Mytilus edulis: one gene and its partner. The protein of the gene in region 1 interacts with the protein of each later gene in a biochemical or structural test. Links are inferred from orthologs where the notes say so. Each region holds a gene or a part of one and is shown on either strand. Other genes may lie near its edges.

Evidence for each region. The genes of interacting proteins can lie anywhere in the genome.
Region 2: the proteins of phosphatidylinositol 3,4,5-trisphosphate 3-phosphatase and dual-specificity protein phosphatase PTEN-like (region 1) and peroxiredoxin-1-like form a complex in vitro, tested with the Homo sapiens proteins (2 studies listed by BioGRID and IntAct). The link is inferred for Mytilus edulis from reciprocal best matches to the Homo sapiens genes PTEN and PRDX1.

The regions. Positions count from the first base shown.
Region 1 is NC_092352.1:74,135,690-74,142,651, reverse strand, and holds the start of phosphatidylinositol 3,4,5-trisphosphate 3-phosphatase and dual-specificity protein phosphatase PTEN-like, read right to left. Parts: upstream 3,014-6,962; 5' UTR 2,772-3,013; coding exon 2,696-2,771; intron 1-2,695. UniProt on the Homo sapiens protein: Dual-specificity protein phosphatase, dephosphorylating tyrosine-, serine- and threonine-phosphorylated proteins.
Region 2 is NC_092344.1:55,541,827-55,549,331, reverse strand, and holds the start of peroxiredoxin-1-like, read right to left. Parts: upstream 3,001-7,505; 5' UTR 2,838-3,000; coding exon 2,691-2,837; intron 1,255-2,690; exon of another isoform or gene 1,238-1,254; intron 1-1,237. Other genes in the region: uncharacterized protein, read left to right, coding at 6,468-6,503. UniProt on the Homo sapiens protein: Thiol-specific peroxidase that catalyzes the reduction of hydrogen peroxide and organic hydroperoxides to water and alcohols, respectively.

The DNA of each region.
Region 1 (6,962 bases):
TTTATGTTTTTTCAAATCACATTTTTTCTGAAAAAGACAATTCAAAGAAGCTACATGTAGATGCAGATGCTAATAATGTTGGAAGTTTTGATAGGAAAATTTTCAGTTACCGGTAATAAAAATGATAAATGGTAAGGAGTTACCTTCTTGTCCAACAGTCCTTGATAATTTGATGATTTCTTTGGAGCATACACCATACTTCAGGGTTTCATTATCAGGGAAGATAATTTGTATAGATTCAGTTCATTTTGATAGCTAACTGTATTGGCCTAGGCCTCTTTTAATAAAGGTGGAAGGCTGCATATGCTTATTATCCAGCCGCAAATTTAGGACCAGAATATGCTAGTCCTGGATAATATAACATAAATATTAACCCTGCTTCGTACTTGACCATGCTTTAATCTGCCACACTGCTTACATGGCTTAGCGGAATAGCAGCAAATGCCAATTTAAAGTCTTTGGAGTTTGGTTTGACCCAGCTGTGGTTTGAACCTGTGACTTCCTAAACTCATTACCATTATTACTGTCAATCAGTACCGAATTGGGTATTATATTGTTAAATAGGGGTTGGGGTACATGTATCGCCCAAGATTGTGCTAAAGGAGTTGAACTAAAATTAAGGATTTTTTACTTATGAAAAATAGTTAAAAGGTAAAATCACAAAAATACTGAACTCAGAGGAAAATCAATTAGGAAAGTCCATAATCACATGGCAAAATCAAATAACAAAACGCATCAAAAACGAATGGACAAGAACTGTCATATTCCTGACTTGGTACAGACATTTTCAAATGTAGAAAATGGTGGATTTTAAATGTAAATAAGAAGATACAGAATGACTGCCAAATAATGTTGGTTTGGAAACCTGATGACCTGTTAATCATGCTACTTCTGGTCTTTTCACCCTCCTTTTGATCATTATAAAACAAGATAGTAATATGGGTGCCTTCATAACGTATAACAATAAAAATTCTTGAAAATTGATGTTAACAGTAATTTTTTGCGCATGATGATAAAATATACAATTTCTTTTTCAACAATAAAATAAAAATTGACTGATTTTAAGGCATCACATTCTTTTTTTTCAAAAAATGATGCTACTTGTGATAATTATTTCAGAACTCTGACAAATCACAATCCAGATATATTGATGAATCACAATAAAATTTTAACCTATTTGATTGTTTAAACCGTAGCCGAAAATGACCGTTTGAAGCCTGATGTAAAAAGGTTCTATTACCCTCATATGATAAAAGTGTGTTGATCATAACATTTTTTCGGAGGGTGGTAAACATGGTAAAGGTGGGTTTTGAATACAGAAAAACATGGAATAAAAATCACAAAAAAGTTGAAAAGAAATTAAAAATCGGGGAAAAACAAAGCACAAGAAATAAAATTGTAAGTATTAATGAAAAAAGTATTGAAAATTATTACTCAGCCTTTCTAGGAGATTATGCAGTCATTGTTTATAGAAATAAAGACCCTGCAGTCACCTTGTAGCGTAAACTGGACCCCTGTTGTGTTCACTTATCGCTACACTGACAACAGGTATGGCCTAAATCCCGTGGTCAGAATTCTGACCACGGGATTTAATAATTTGACAAGACTAGTACATCATGTGCTATGTTTGATTATGTATTATACTGATAGCAAATCAAAGAGAAATTAGCACATTTATAACCCTACTGAGTTCTTTAGGGAATGAAAGATACCGGCTCAGTTTGTCAAGAACATGTTAACACGCTCGTTGGTCATTTATCTGCCAGTACCACCATGGGGTTAATTAACAGATACTTGTGTATACTGCGGCATCGCAGTAGTAACATTTGAGGTCAATTCCTATCACTTTAATTGGCCAATTTTATTAGCGAATCGTTGAATTTGTACGACTCGTCCAATTAATGCCAATGTGACAATAGCTCCAACCTGTTCCTTCGGTGCGAAGCTATAGATAGAACGGCGGACCAGTTTACTTGTAGCGTCTGTTAGTTGCAACTGATTTGAAAAAAAGATTATTCATAGTAATTTCATAGACTTTTATACCATATATTTACAATATCCAGGCCAACTTTGAAGTACATGTAGTTTGATGTACCTGTCAACTTTGAATAGACAAAAACACGGAAAATAAATAAGTGGAAAAATGAAGCACGCACATTGAATCAAACACAAGAAAACGAGAAATAAAATGCCTAAACACATGAAATTGAAAGGCCGAAAGCGTTCCACCAAAAAGATTCCTTATAAACCCTCTTCTCAGATTGTAAAGTCATGGATAACTTCTCCAACATTGTGATGTCACTGATAAGTTATACACATGTATCATAGCTGTAAAACTACAATAACAGAGCGATTGCACATGTTGATAATTTAAGGTAAAGGGAAGCACTATAAAGGACAATTATAAGGATCGCCATCAACCTGGTCAAGTTAGTTTCTCTCAGAATCCAAAATAACGATATGTAGGATCTTCATATTGTTCTGTTGATCGATACTAAAAATCTGTGTAAATAACTCTCAGTTGGCCCCTTTAGATATCATTAACAATAAAAGCATATGTTTGTTGTCCCTCTTCGTTCGTTTTTTCATACATTAAAAAAAAATGGGGGCAGCATACATGTACATGTATTTAGCTGCACAACTTTATGTGATACACTTCATACCTATTACAAACTCTTTACTGTAAAAAGGATACATGTTAGATCTAGATCGAATCCGTCGACTTTGTGCCGTCTCTTGTTTTTACTGACAAGACCTTTTAAAAAATCCATTTTCACAAAAACAGTTGAAACTTGAAATCAAGAAAAATTGTCAACAGGTCTTTCGACTCAATCAGCGAATGTTAATATCCTTGTCACTGCATTTTCTGAACAAAAATAAATTCATTGATGATAACAATACATTATTACATGTAAACAAAACGACAAAATTCAATAAATGACACAAATTTCAGTTTACATTTTGTATGTCGCTATTTCGCTATGGCGGCTTCCTGATTTGATATCCTTCCGCTGACCAATCAATGTGGGGAGATATCTAAAATCTCCAGCCTTTCACACTTAAAAATATTTATTTAACACTTATGGCTAAATCATGATATTTATACAATATTAAACTGTAAGAATGTTTCCATTTTTACGAAGATACGAAAATATTCTAACCTGATAAAGCTATGTCAAAGGTCAACCTTGTGTGTAGAAAACCTACTGACCCACTAATCATTGACATACTTTGCAATACACAATGTTTTGTTTGATCTATCGATTAGGGTAAATACCCAAGGCACCATTTATTAACAAATGTGTAACAAAGGAGTGTTTCATAAATTACGACTGGAAAATATATAAAAATATGCATTCAAACTATAACATTGTAAAAAATAATTATACATAAGAAAAGGGAGATAAATGGAGTATACAATTTATCTGCAATAAAACCAATCAACTTGCTTATTATTTTTTGGTTACATGTAACATTAGCATGATTAGCAGAAACAACTAATTGACTTGTAAGCACAGTAATATAACTGGAATTTATTGATATTTTCTTTGTTGATGCCGTAATATTTTTACAACTATTTGAAAGACTGATATTATTATGGGAAAACAAAACTGTACGTAGAATTAGGTTGTTAGTCTGAGGGTCTTGATGGACAAGGGATTTTGTTCATTTCTGGATTCATTTTTAGGATATTTTTCTCAATTAATTGTTTTTTTTTCCATTTTAACTATTCTTCTTTATTGCATGCCAATCCTTTTTTCATATTTTTATGAGCAAAAAAAGAGGGGGGGGGGGCATTCTCTTTATTATTTTGAATTTGCCCTCTATATTTTCATTTTTCACACCTCATTCAAATACTTTTGCACGAACAATTGTTGTATATATATATAGGATATTATATAAACAATTCCTTGGTACGAAGAAGAATTTTATATCACAAACTGCAAGAGTCAAACGGTTAGCAGGACAAACAAATTATATCCCCGTGATAACCATTATCGATAAAAAAAAAGGATGATCTTCATTATTTATATTCTTTTATTTTCATTAGCCATGTTTCTCTGTAATTTTTGTTTGCCCATTTTTCGCTTCTTTATTTTATAGTCCTGATAACCAATCCATCCCTTTGATAAATAGCATGACTGTCAATACGAAAACGTATACATTTATTTAGTTATACAACAGGGTTTTTTTTTCAAATGATGTGCGGCTCTTTTGTACTGGAAATTGATAACACTTCGATCTTTCTTTATAATTTATTAAGTCAATGATTTTAAAAGCAGTAATATGAAAATCCTTTGTTATGCAGAAGTATATAATTTATATAATACATTTTTAATTCCGAATTCGTGAATACCCATTAACAACAGGTAACAGGTAGACTACACAGCATATTTATGGAATCAAAATGTTATTCAGCACTACATGTAGCTGTTGAATGCATTTTCATGATACGAAAGAGAAACGAAAGATATTGATATCCAAACTCTTCAGTTACAAATAAAATGACAACACCATGGCTTTAACAAAAAAGGAAAACAGACAAGCAATAGTACAAAAACACAGAAAACTAGACCGAGCAGCACAAACCTTACAAAAAATTGATGTTGCTCCGGAAGGTAAGTAAATCTGCTCCACATGTGACACCCGTCGTGTTGTTCCAGTTAGTATATCCAAACCCGGTAATTAGTCTAGTTCTCTTGGAATTATTAGCGGAAAGGGAGACTGGTTAATAACGACAATTGGAAAATTACCATCAATTTTCATGATTTAGAAAATGTTTGCATTGTAGGAAGGCGTTCAATGTATGAGTCCCAGGCCGAACCAAAAGAAAACAATTTTTATCTGAAAGATGATAGACATGATTGTTTATGACTTCTTTTCACTAAATCCATTGTATGTTGGATGTGTACTGATTGATAATTTAGTTTTAGATGCATGATTTTTTTAATTGGTGGTTAGGGGGTTTTGAACTAGCTGACAGTAACTGTGTGTACTCTTAGATCTGTACTTATTGTCTCTTTGTTGTTAAGATGTACAAGTACCTGGCCACATCCACTCTGTGTTTTTGTTAGATGTATTAATGTTTGCATCAGTTGTATCCATTTTGTTAGATAAGTCTTTTTGAACTGATTTGTATAGTTCGTTCTTATGTTGTACTGTTACACCACTGTCCCAGGTTAACAGGAAGGTTCAAAATCCCGCTAACACGTTTAACCTCCGCCACATTCTGTGTGTATGTGCTTACCCAAAGTCATGAGCCTGTAATTCAGTGGTTTTCGTTTGTTGCTGTGTTACATATTTGTTTTTCGATCATTTTTGTACATAAATTACGCTGTAAGTTTTCTTGTTAGAATTGTTTTACATTTGTTATTTCAGGGTCTATTATAACTGACTATGCGGTATTGGATTTGCTCATTGTTGACTGAAGCCGTACAGTGACCTATAGTTGTTAATTTCTGTGTCATTTGGTCTTTTGTGAAAATATGTCTTATTGGCAATTTTACTTGAATTTTTGTTCATCTGATGAGTTAAGCCTTTTTTAACTGATTCTTATAGTTCGTTCTTATGTTGTACTGTTATACCACTGGCTTAGGTTAGGGGGAGGGTTGGGATCCCGCTAACATGTTTAACCCCGCCACATTATGTATGTATATGCCTGTCCCAAGTCAGGTGCCTGTAATTCAGTGGTTGTCGTTTGTTTATGTGTTACATATTTGTTTTTCGTTCATTTTTTATATAAATAAGGCCGATAGTTTTTTCGTTTGATTTTTTTTACATTGTCAATTCGGGGCCTTTTATAGCTGACTATTCGGTATGGGATTTGTTCATTGTTGAAGACCGTACTGGTGAATTATAGTAGTTATTTTTTGTGTCATTTTTTTCTTTTGTGGAGAGTTGTCTTATTGGCAATCAAACCACATCTTATTTTAAATATTATGACTGAATTTCGAATGGAATATGTCTAAGAGACAACAACCCGACCGAAAAGCGGGTAACAGTCGTTAGCCATCAATTGCTCTTAAACGCAGGGGGGAAATCCTGCACATAGAGGTGGGCCTCATCTGGTCTCTAAAATGTGTACTAGTGTTCAGTATCATACTAAACTCCAAACATATTGATTAACTAAAATTAAAAAACCATACAAGACTAACAATGGCCAGAGGATCCTGACTTGAGACAGGTGCTAAAATGCGCTGGGATTCAACATGTTTTGTGAAATTTCATCTCTCCCCTATACCTTCAGCCAATTTAGAATAAAGAAACACACAGCAATGCGCACAGTAAAACTCGTTCAAAAGAAGTCCGAGTCCGATGTCAGAATAGGTAACAAAAGAAAATTAGCAAAATGACAATGATACATAAAATAACAAAAGACTACTATAGCAGTTACGGACCTGAATTAAACTGTCTTCATCATATGAAAATCAAGCACAGTCCCTTCCGTTAAGGGTTCAGTATCATACTATCATAAAATATATGAGAAGAACATAACCCGTATCATGACAACAGCTGGTTTTAGAATAAATGTGTTTATTTCCAGTGAAAAGACCCTATGTGTGAATCAATATAATACCAAAAAATACTTTTTTACCTGGAAGGGGGCTGGTCATTTTGAAATCAAACATATACAATTTTCTTGATTCCCCCATAATAGTTTACTATTTTCATTTGATCCCCCCCGATAAAAACGTTTATAAAATGTGATTTCCCCATAAAAACGTTTAAAAAATGAGATGTAATTCTATTTAAAATGCCAAAATTTTAACACGCAAAACATTTATCATGAAATATTCTCATTGGATGGAGGAAAATTGCCTTGAAATAGGGCTCTTCAATGAATATTAGTAGGTTGAGCAAGCCAGTGCTTTGGGAAGCTTTTTCTTCGTTTAGTATGTCCCTCTCTTGAACGAAGCGTAAACTAAGTTTTACGTTAGGCCATATGGAAACCTCCATTAAGT
Region 2 (7,505 bases), on another chromosome or scaffold:
CGCAGCCCGAAGTGAAATAACTTTCAAGGGTTGACAATTTTGGATATTCATCGATTCTAAGGGGCCACAATTGATTTATTATACCGAACTAACAGTGGAAAGGCCTTTCGAACACTTTCTATATGTTTTACATAACAAAGTCAAAGACAAGTTGACGTCAGATGAAAATACATTTGTGTTCTAGAATTTCTAAATTGTACAACAAAAGTAGAATCTTTTTGTAAAATATTGATGGCCCTGAAAAGGACCGTTACTCTATAAGAGCTATCATCAGCTGCTGTCACTCTATTCATGTCTAATGCCTTATTTCCTTTTTCTGCTTCGTCTCTCGGTGAGCTTCAACTGTAACGTGAACGCTGCCATTTTGTTTATTTACGTCTGTGACGTCATAATCATGGGAGATAACTCAAGTACAAATCAACAATCTCAAAAGGTTATTCGCCGGTGAATAATAGGGTTATTCACCGCTGGTGGAAATTTTTAGGGTTATTCGTCCTTCCTTGCAATTGAATGAAAAACAACTGAATTATTCCATGTCACGTGACAACGTTTCACCCAATAGAATTGTTTAAAATATATGTAAGGTATAATAATAGTACATGTACATATATATAAATGTAACACACATGATATATATCCAAAGCTAAGCAGCAAATATCTACCAGTATATATATATATATTAGAATTCATTTATAAGTAACAGAGAACTAATCTTGTTGAATAGAATATATCCCATATAATGGAAAAGTATCAAATATTTAGCATTTTCAAAACCATATGACCAAAACTAGGAATTAAATTATGATTTTCATCATTATTTATGAGATATTATCAAATATCTAATATCAAAAAAAAAAATCTTCATCTGGAGCATGTGTAGTTTGTTATTTTTTGCCTGTTCCTCTTTTTGGAGAGATTATCTATTAATTGAAGATAAACAACTTTTCTTGGCCATAAACTTTTGTTTTCAAAACTGAAACTCAATTTTTCTAGTTTTTAAATAGATATAAGATAGTAATGCCCTTTACCGTCAGGCGTCAAACAGCCATTTACAGCTATCGTTAGCGTCAAATTGATTATGCATGCCCATAAATTCAGAGAGAAAAAAACAGGAACTATCATCCACATTTACTATTAAGTAAAGTGATTTTCGATGTGATTACCTTGTAACTTCTGCATGTCAAAGCAGTGCAAAGCAAAGCTATTAAGCAAAGCAGAACCAAACAAATCTACTTACTTGAGATTAATTTCCTCCTGAAAACAATTCAAAAGAAGCAGCTGCAAAATTATGATGCAAGATTCAATCTCATAATGAGTTTTCTTTTTTCATATAAAGATTAACAGTTTAAAGACTAAGTATTTAGTACATAAATATGTCACGGAGAAGACATAATAAGCAGAGTTCTTACATTTCTGCCACTAAAAGATTCTTTTCTTTTATTATTTGTTCTACACAAACACTAGAATGTGGACAAATCTAAACAATATAGGGTGAAACAAGAGTTCACATGCCGAAAAAATTGCCTGCTTTCATGAGTGTGCCCCATTTATATGCTTAAGTCTTTTTAACATGTTTAATGAAGGTTCTACTGAATGTTTAATGAAAACTTTACCAAAGATCAAGGTCAGTTGGACCCTGGGACTCTGCCAGACCGATAGATTTACTAACCACACTTGTTTCTTAAGGTGTTCACCTGATCGTGAGATATTGACTATTGTCAGGGGAAAATAAATGCGCCAATGCTTTAAGCGTATAACCCTGTATGAAAGGCTGTAAAACATGGCTCTAAATGTTCTCACTAGGATATTTATAGAGCAGGGACAATGAGTCAATGACTAGTAACTTTTGCAGCACTTGGCAAGTCCTAGCTGATTGTGATGACTGGAGCATATGGACTGAAACAGGAAATGTACAGATACATACACACTAGTTTTTTTAACAGCTCATATTTTTTAGGTGTCAAAGCAAAAATTTAAAATAGCCTTCCAAGACGTCATAATTATTTGTACTAATTATGTTGTAGATAATTTAATGAAAATCGAGGAACTTATACTCAAAAGGATCAAAGATACATTTGTAAGATATAGAAACACAGGCACTTGTTTTAGTCCATAGAAAGACCCACTATCTGTATCAACATATATTTACGTTGATATATGGTCTTCTCATGGATAGCTCCCATGGATAGAAACAAGTGCCTGTGTATAGAAAACAGATCAATTTAGTCCATATAATCATAGACGGATCAAGGTGGGCCCTGGGTTCCTCTCTTTTGTTTGAAAAATTTGGTTGATTATATAGGGAATCACTGAAGCATGGCTGGAGCAGCCCCCCCTTAGTTTATACAAAAAGTTCTGGATCCCCCACTGATAATTATGACATTTTTTGTGATGCCAGTCACAGGAATAAATAAAAACAGATTGTCAAGGTGTTATTACTATTTTTGGACTAAGAAAACAGTGGAAATTGTCTTCAGACGCTTTAAAATATAATTTTCAAAAAGGAAACCCTATATTAAACATGATAAATTTCAAATAATTTAATATCTTAGATAATTTTTATACAGAGGTTGAAATAATTCGTATTTTGCATACATGTAACTGTACCAACATGCATAAACAATCAAAAAATAATTATAAATGAAAACATGCAGTTTGGTGCAATCTTTGGGGTTTTCTTTGTGATTTACCGTACAATATTTTCTTCTTGAAAAATGAAACTGTTCAGGATGTCCTGGTCGTGCTGAACTTGACCGGATATTATAAGTATATCGGTTACACCTTAAAACGTTGCTGCTGATTTGTTTTGAGAGGTTGTACAATGTTTTCAATGACATTTTGGAATATGAAATTTACATAAAACTGACCAGAGAATGTCCTTGAATAGCTTTTCAGGTCGATTGTTCTAGATGCCGGTTAGCCGGTTATTTCCACACGTGCTGCGCAAAAACGAAAGTGGTTCTGGTTCCCAGTTCACAATTTCATTTTCATTTTACAGTTAATGTTCCTCCATTCTATTGGAGCACCCAGTCTTTGTGGAGCACCCATTGTAATATTGTTATCCAACGATAGCATTTTAAACAGAGTATTTTTTTTTTATTGTTTAACACAATTTATAAAACTGTATAACTTCTTAATAGTGTGCAAAATTTTTAATTTTTTTTAGTAACTTTAGGTTGATTTATAGAAAAATTTCAAATTTATAATGCTACTATACAGTTACTAGTAGGTGATTAATTCGAGCAAGGATTTGTATACCTCACGGTATGTGTCTTACTTAACAAATCCTTCATTTAAGTATAAAAAGCGCATTGCAATTTTTAATGAACACCTAAAGAAAGTAAAACAAAATTTATCTGAATATCTATCAGTTTCTAGCTGAACTTAAAAAATTAACACAAAAAAAAACGAAAATGTTATTTCAGAGACATATAACTACATCTTTTAAAAGTATCTTATCTAGACTAATTAGGGAGGAATTGTCAATAAATCCTATCTACTTCAAAAATAAATCATTCTGATTCAAACATAAACTTCTCAGCTGAAAATGACATTATCAAGATGTTTGATATCTTGATTGACAACATATTTGTTACGTTTGGAGGACATGTTTTTCGCAAATCAATAAGCACTCCTATGGGAACCAACTGCGCCCCTCTTTTCTTAAAAAAAAAAAAACACTCTTGAAAGTATTGTTATTTCAATTACTCCTACTAATTTCAACATCGTCGATTAGAGAATTTTTTATCACAAACATCAAAATTTTGCCTGCATATAATCTGCAAGATAAAACTTTAAATAATACTCACGGTCAGGGAATTAACTCCCACTGCTGAGAAAAAATCCGTAATATAAGATCATATAAGAAAGTACTTATACATTATATAGCATATGTAGTTTGTTTAATACTATGGTGAAGCCAATTGCTACATATAATTCAGAGGTTATTTTTATGGATACATAGTATATATATCATATATAACATTATATAGAGCTGTCAAGAGGGCAAATGTATCTCATAAAGAAATTGACTTTCCTGATTTTACTGATAAAATTTGTTTTGAAAAACTTCATTTATCATTTTGTAAAAATATTTCGGGAACCGAAAGAATGCATCAAATTCTGCAGTAAGAAAAGAATGAACTGAGTCGCTATCCATTAACATTGAAAATAAAGGTCCAAAGTTTACTATATTTAACAAGACTTCTAAATAATTGTATAGTCCCTTATTGTGTGAAGCTTTCACTGTATCAAAGAATCTAGACTCTGCATGCAGGATGTTATACATGGTTTACGTATACAAAACATTGCAAAGGAAGCAAATGTAGATTTTAAGCATATTGAGGAGTGTAAGAATCCAGCGGGACTTTCTACACTAACTTTATAGAAAGTCCCTGAATAATCTAATCCAAATAAAAACACTTAAAACTGCATGAATTAAAAGTTAAAAAGGAAAATTATACTAAACATACATTTGAGAAAATACACAATAACAGTAAACTTCTATTATATAAAACATTAAAACAAAGTAACTTTAATAGAAACATATCTGAATTCTTATATATTTGAAAATAGACGTAGTATCACTAAATTAAGATTAAGTGATCATAATTTGTTAATAGAAAAAGGGAGACAAAGGACGTATATTATATGTTAGTTATGCATCCTTGGGGAGACACATAAAAATCCCTATGGAAAACCGGTTGTGTCAGTCCTGTGTGGCGGAGAGCCTATTTTTGAAACAACATTACTTCCCGGCTTGAAAATGAAATACCGACCGTGCAAGGGCTGTATAGCCAGTCAAGGTCGTTAAAAGCTTCCATTTGTTGTTGTTAAATGGCTGACCCACGTTGGCTGACCGTGCAAGAGCTGTATAGCCAGTCAGTCAAGCTTGATGGTCTTGCACAGACCTAGCTTACCACTGACTGAAAGATGACATTGTTATTTATAGAACAAAATGTCTATCTTCAGTCTTGCTGGTCTTGCACAGATCTCAGTGGCGGATCCAGGGGGGGGGGGGGGGGGGTCCGGGGGTGCGCACCCCCTTTATTTTTGCCGATCAATGCATTTGTATCGGGACATATGTTTTGCACCCCCCCCCCCCCCGGCACCCCCCCTTTGCCCTGGGTTAGCACCCCCCTTTCGAAAATTCCTGCATCCGCCCCTGGATCTCACCATATTTTGTCACTTTTATGTGAGTTTTAACTTATTTACATTTGAATACTTTTATATTTTCATTATTGTTGATATTTGCTAAATTGTAATTTATTGATAAACTATGAAAACTTGATAGTGTTAAGTCCTACAAAGCCACATATGAAGGACCAGAGACTCATGATTCCGATACCTACTCTTTACACAGTGGAGAGGGATTTATATAAGTTGTATTTATAACTTGTTTCCCAATCCACAATGAATAAATATGTTTAAACTACACGGTCTGGGGTAAAATATGTAAAAATTGACACAGAAAATATGCAGAACGTAAAAAACCCTCCGCCGGGTTACACCTGCACTGAGACTACTATAACACATGTGTTATAGTAGTCTCAGACCACTTTCGAGTTCTTCCGTCACCGGAAAAAACTCGTCAATTATACGCGCCTTTATCACCGTCATTTTTGCGTTTAGGGGCGTCGTCACTTCCTTCCAATGTTGAGCGAGTGGTTGGAAAACTATAATTCTATATTGTACGAATTATTCGGCAAATTGAATTCTCAAAATTGACAATCAACACTGCTGTCATTAGGGAATTGTCAGTAAGTACCTACAGAGCAACCGTTATTTCTAGGTTATCCTGCACAAAGACGATCACTAAGACGCTTGATGAACGTAAATAGTGCAGGGATACAGGCGAGCCCCTCTATCTGGTAAGTGACGTCATAAAGGCGTGCATAATTGACGAGTTTTTGCCGGTGACGGATGAACTCGAAAGTGGTCTAATAATGAACTTTTGAAACATTTTTTTTTTGTATTGCAGGAAAAACGCTTCCATTAGACGAGTTTTTATAAAAAAAAAAATAACAAAGGCTAAAAGTATAGAAAATTTTAATTGACTCAATGAAAATGAAAAAATATGATAAATAATCTTTGCCCATCACCTCAGTCACAAAAACATGTAGAAAGCATCACATTCTAATTTGTTACTTTTAGAGATTAGTGATTTGTCTGAAATCAGTATAAAAAAAATGTAATTATTTTATGTATAAAAGTATTATTTATTTTTCTATCTTTAAATTTCAATTTTTACATTCCAATATTCACTAAAACATTTGTAGGGCGTGTAGCATCTCGTCAAGGTTAATATTGCATGTGACCTGGGTACTGTGCACATCGCCGCATCTCTGTCGAGAGAATGTACAGGTGAGGGATCCAGTTTACGGAATATAGAAGCTTCCGGTCATTATAATTTTCGCGGATTTCCATGTTGATAGCCTTGTGGAGCTTATAAAAGTAACAGTGTGAAGATGTCAGACGAATCTTTAATAAAACTAGTTAATAAGGTAAAATTGATGCAAATCAAATCACACATTGAAAATCATTATATTTTAAGCGATAACTTTAAGCGAATATGGTGAACACGTTGACGTTGTTGAACGCTTTTTCCCGCACATTGCACAGGTGAAATTATTGCCCCCAAATTTTTTTTTAATGTTTATAGTTGTGTTATATATTTTTCCCTTTATATTCTGTATAATTTTAGCACTTTGCAGTCTAGTGTATCTGTGCACCTTATTTATAATGACATGTAATCATGACTAATGATGTATACAAACATGCATACATAAATGATCATGAATTTATACCTTTAGGCATTATACTAGTTCAAATAATTATGACATCTGGCAAGGCAATTTAAAAAAAAACCTAGGACGCAGGCGTTGTGTGTATTTTCTGTAGTACATGTATATATATATATGTTGTTTTTATTACACATGTTACATGTATATTGCATATGTTATTGTTTATAGATCTATTTTAATAATATTGTTTGTAATTATATATATATGCCAGTAGTATAATATGCCCTTCTGAGCCCTAATTTGGTGTATAAAAATATTCTATTCTATATTATAATTATAAAAAACTAAAATTTATTTAGATTTAAGGTGTGCAGCTTAACAATAAACATGAACTTTTAAATTTATATGGGACATTTCCGCATTTTCAGTAACTTTATATACCTGTGTCAATTTAAATTTTTGGAACAACATGAACAATGAACTGTCCCATTGAACATGTTGAAAGAATACAATTCTCAACAGTAGGTACATTTTTTAGAATGATATGATAACAGTTCTTTGTACATTTTGTATTATTATATAAATTATTGCATCTTTAAGAATTGAATCTTTTCCTGATTTTGAGTAGCTTTACCAGGTGTCAATTTTAATTTTTCGATCAATGAACTGTCCCATTGAAAGAATACGATAAGGTATAATTGTTCTCAGTGGAGTTTATTTACTGGGACCTTTAAATTTCTTCTATAAATGAGTGATGGATTT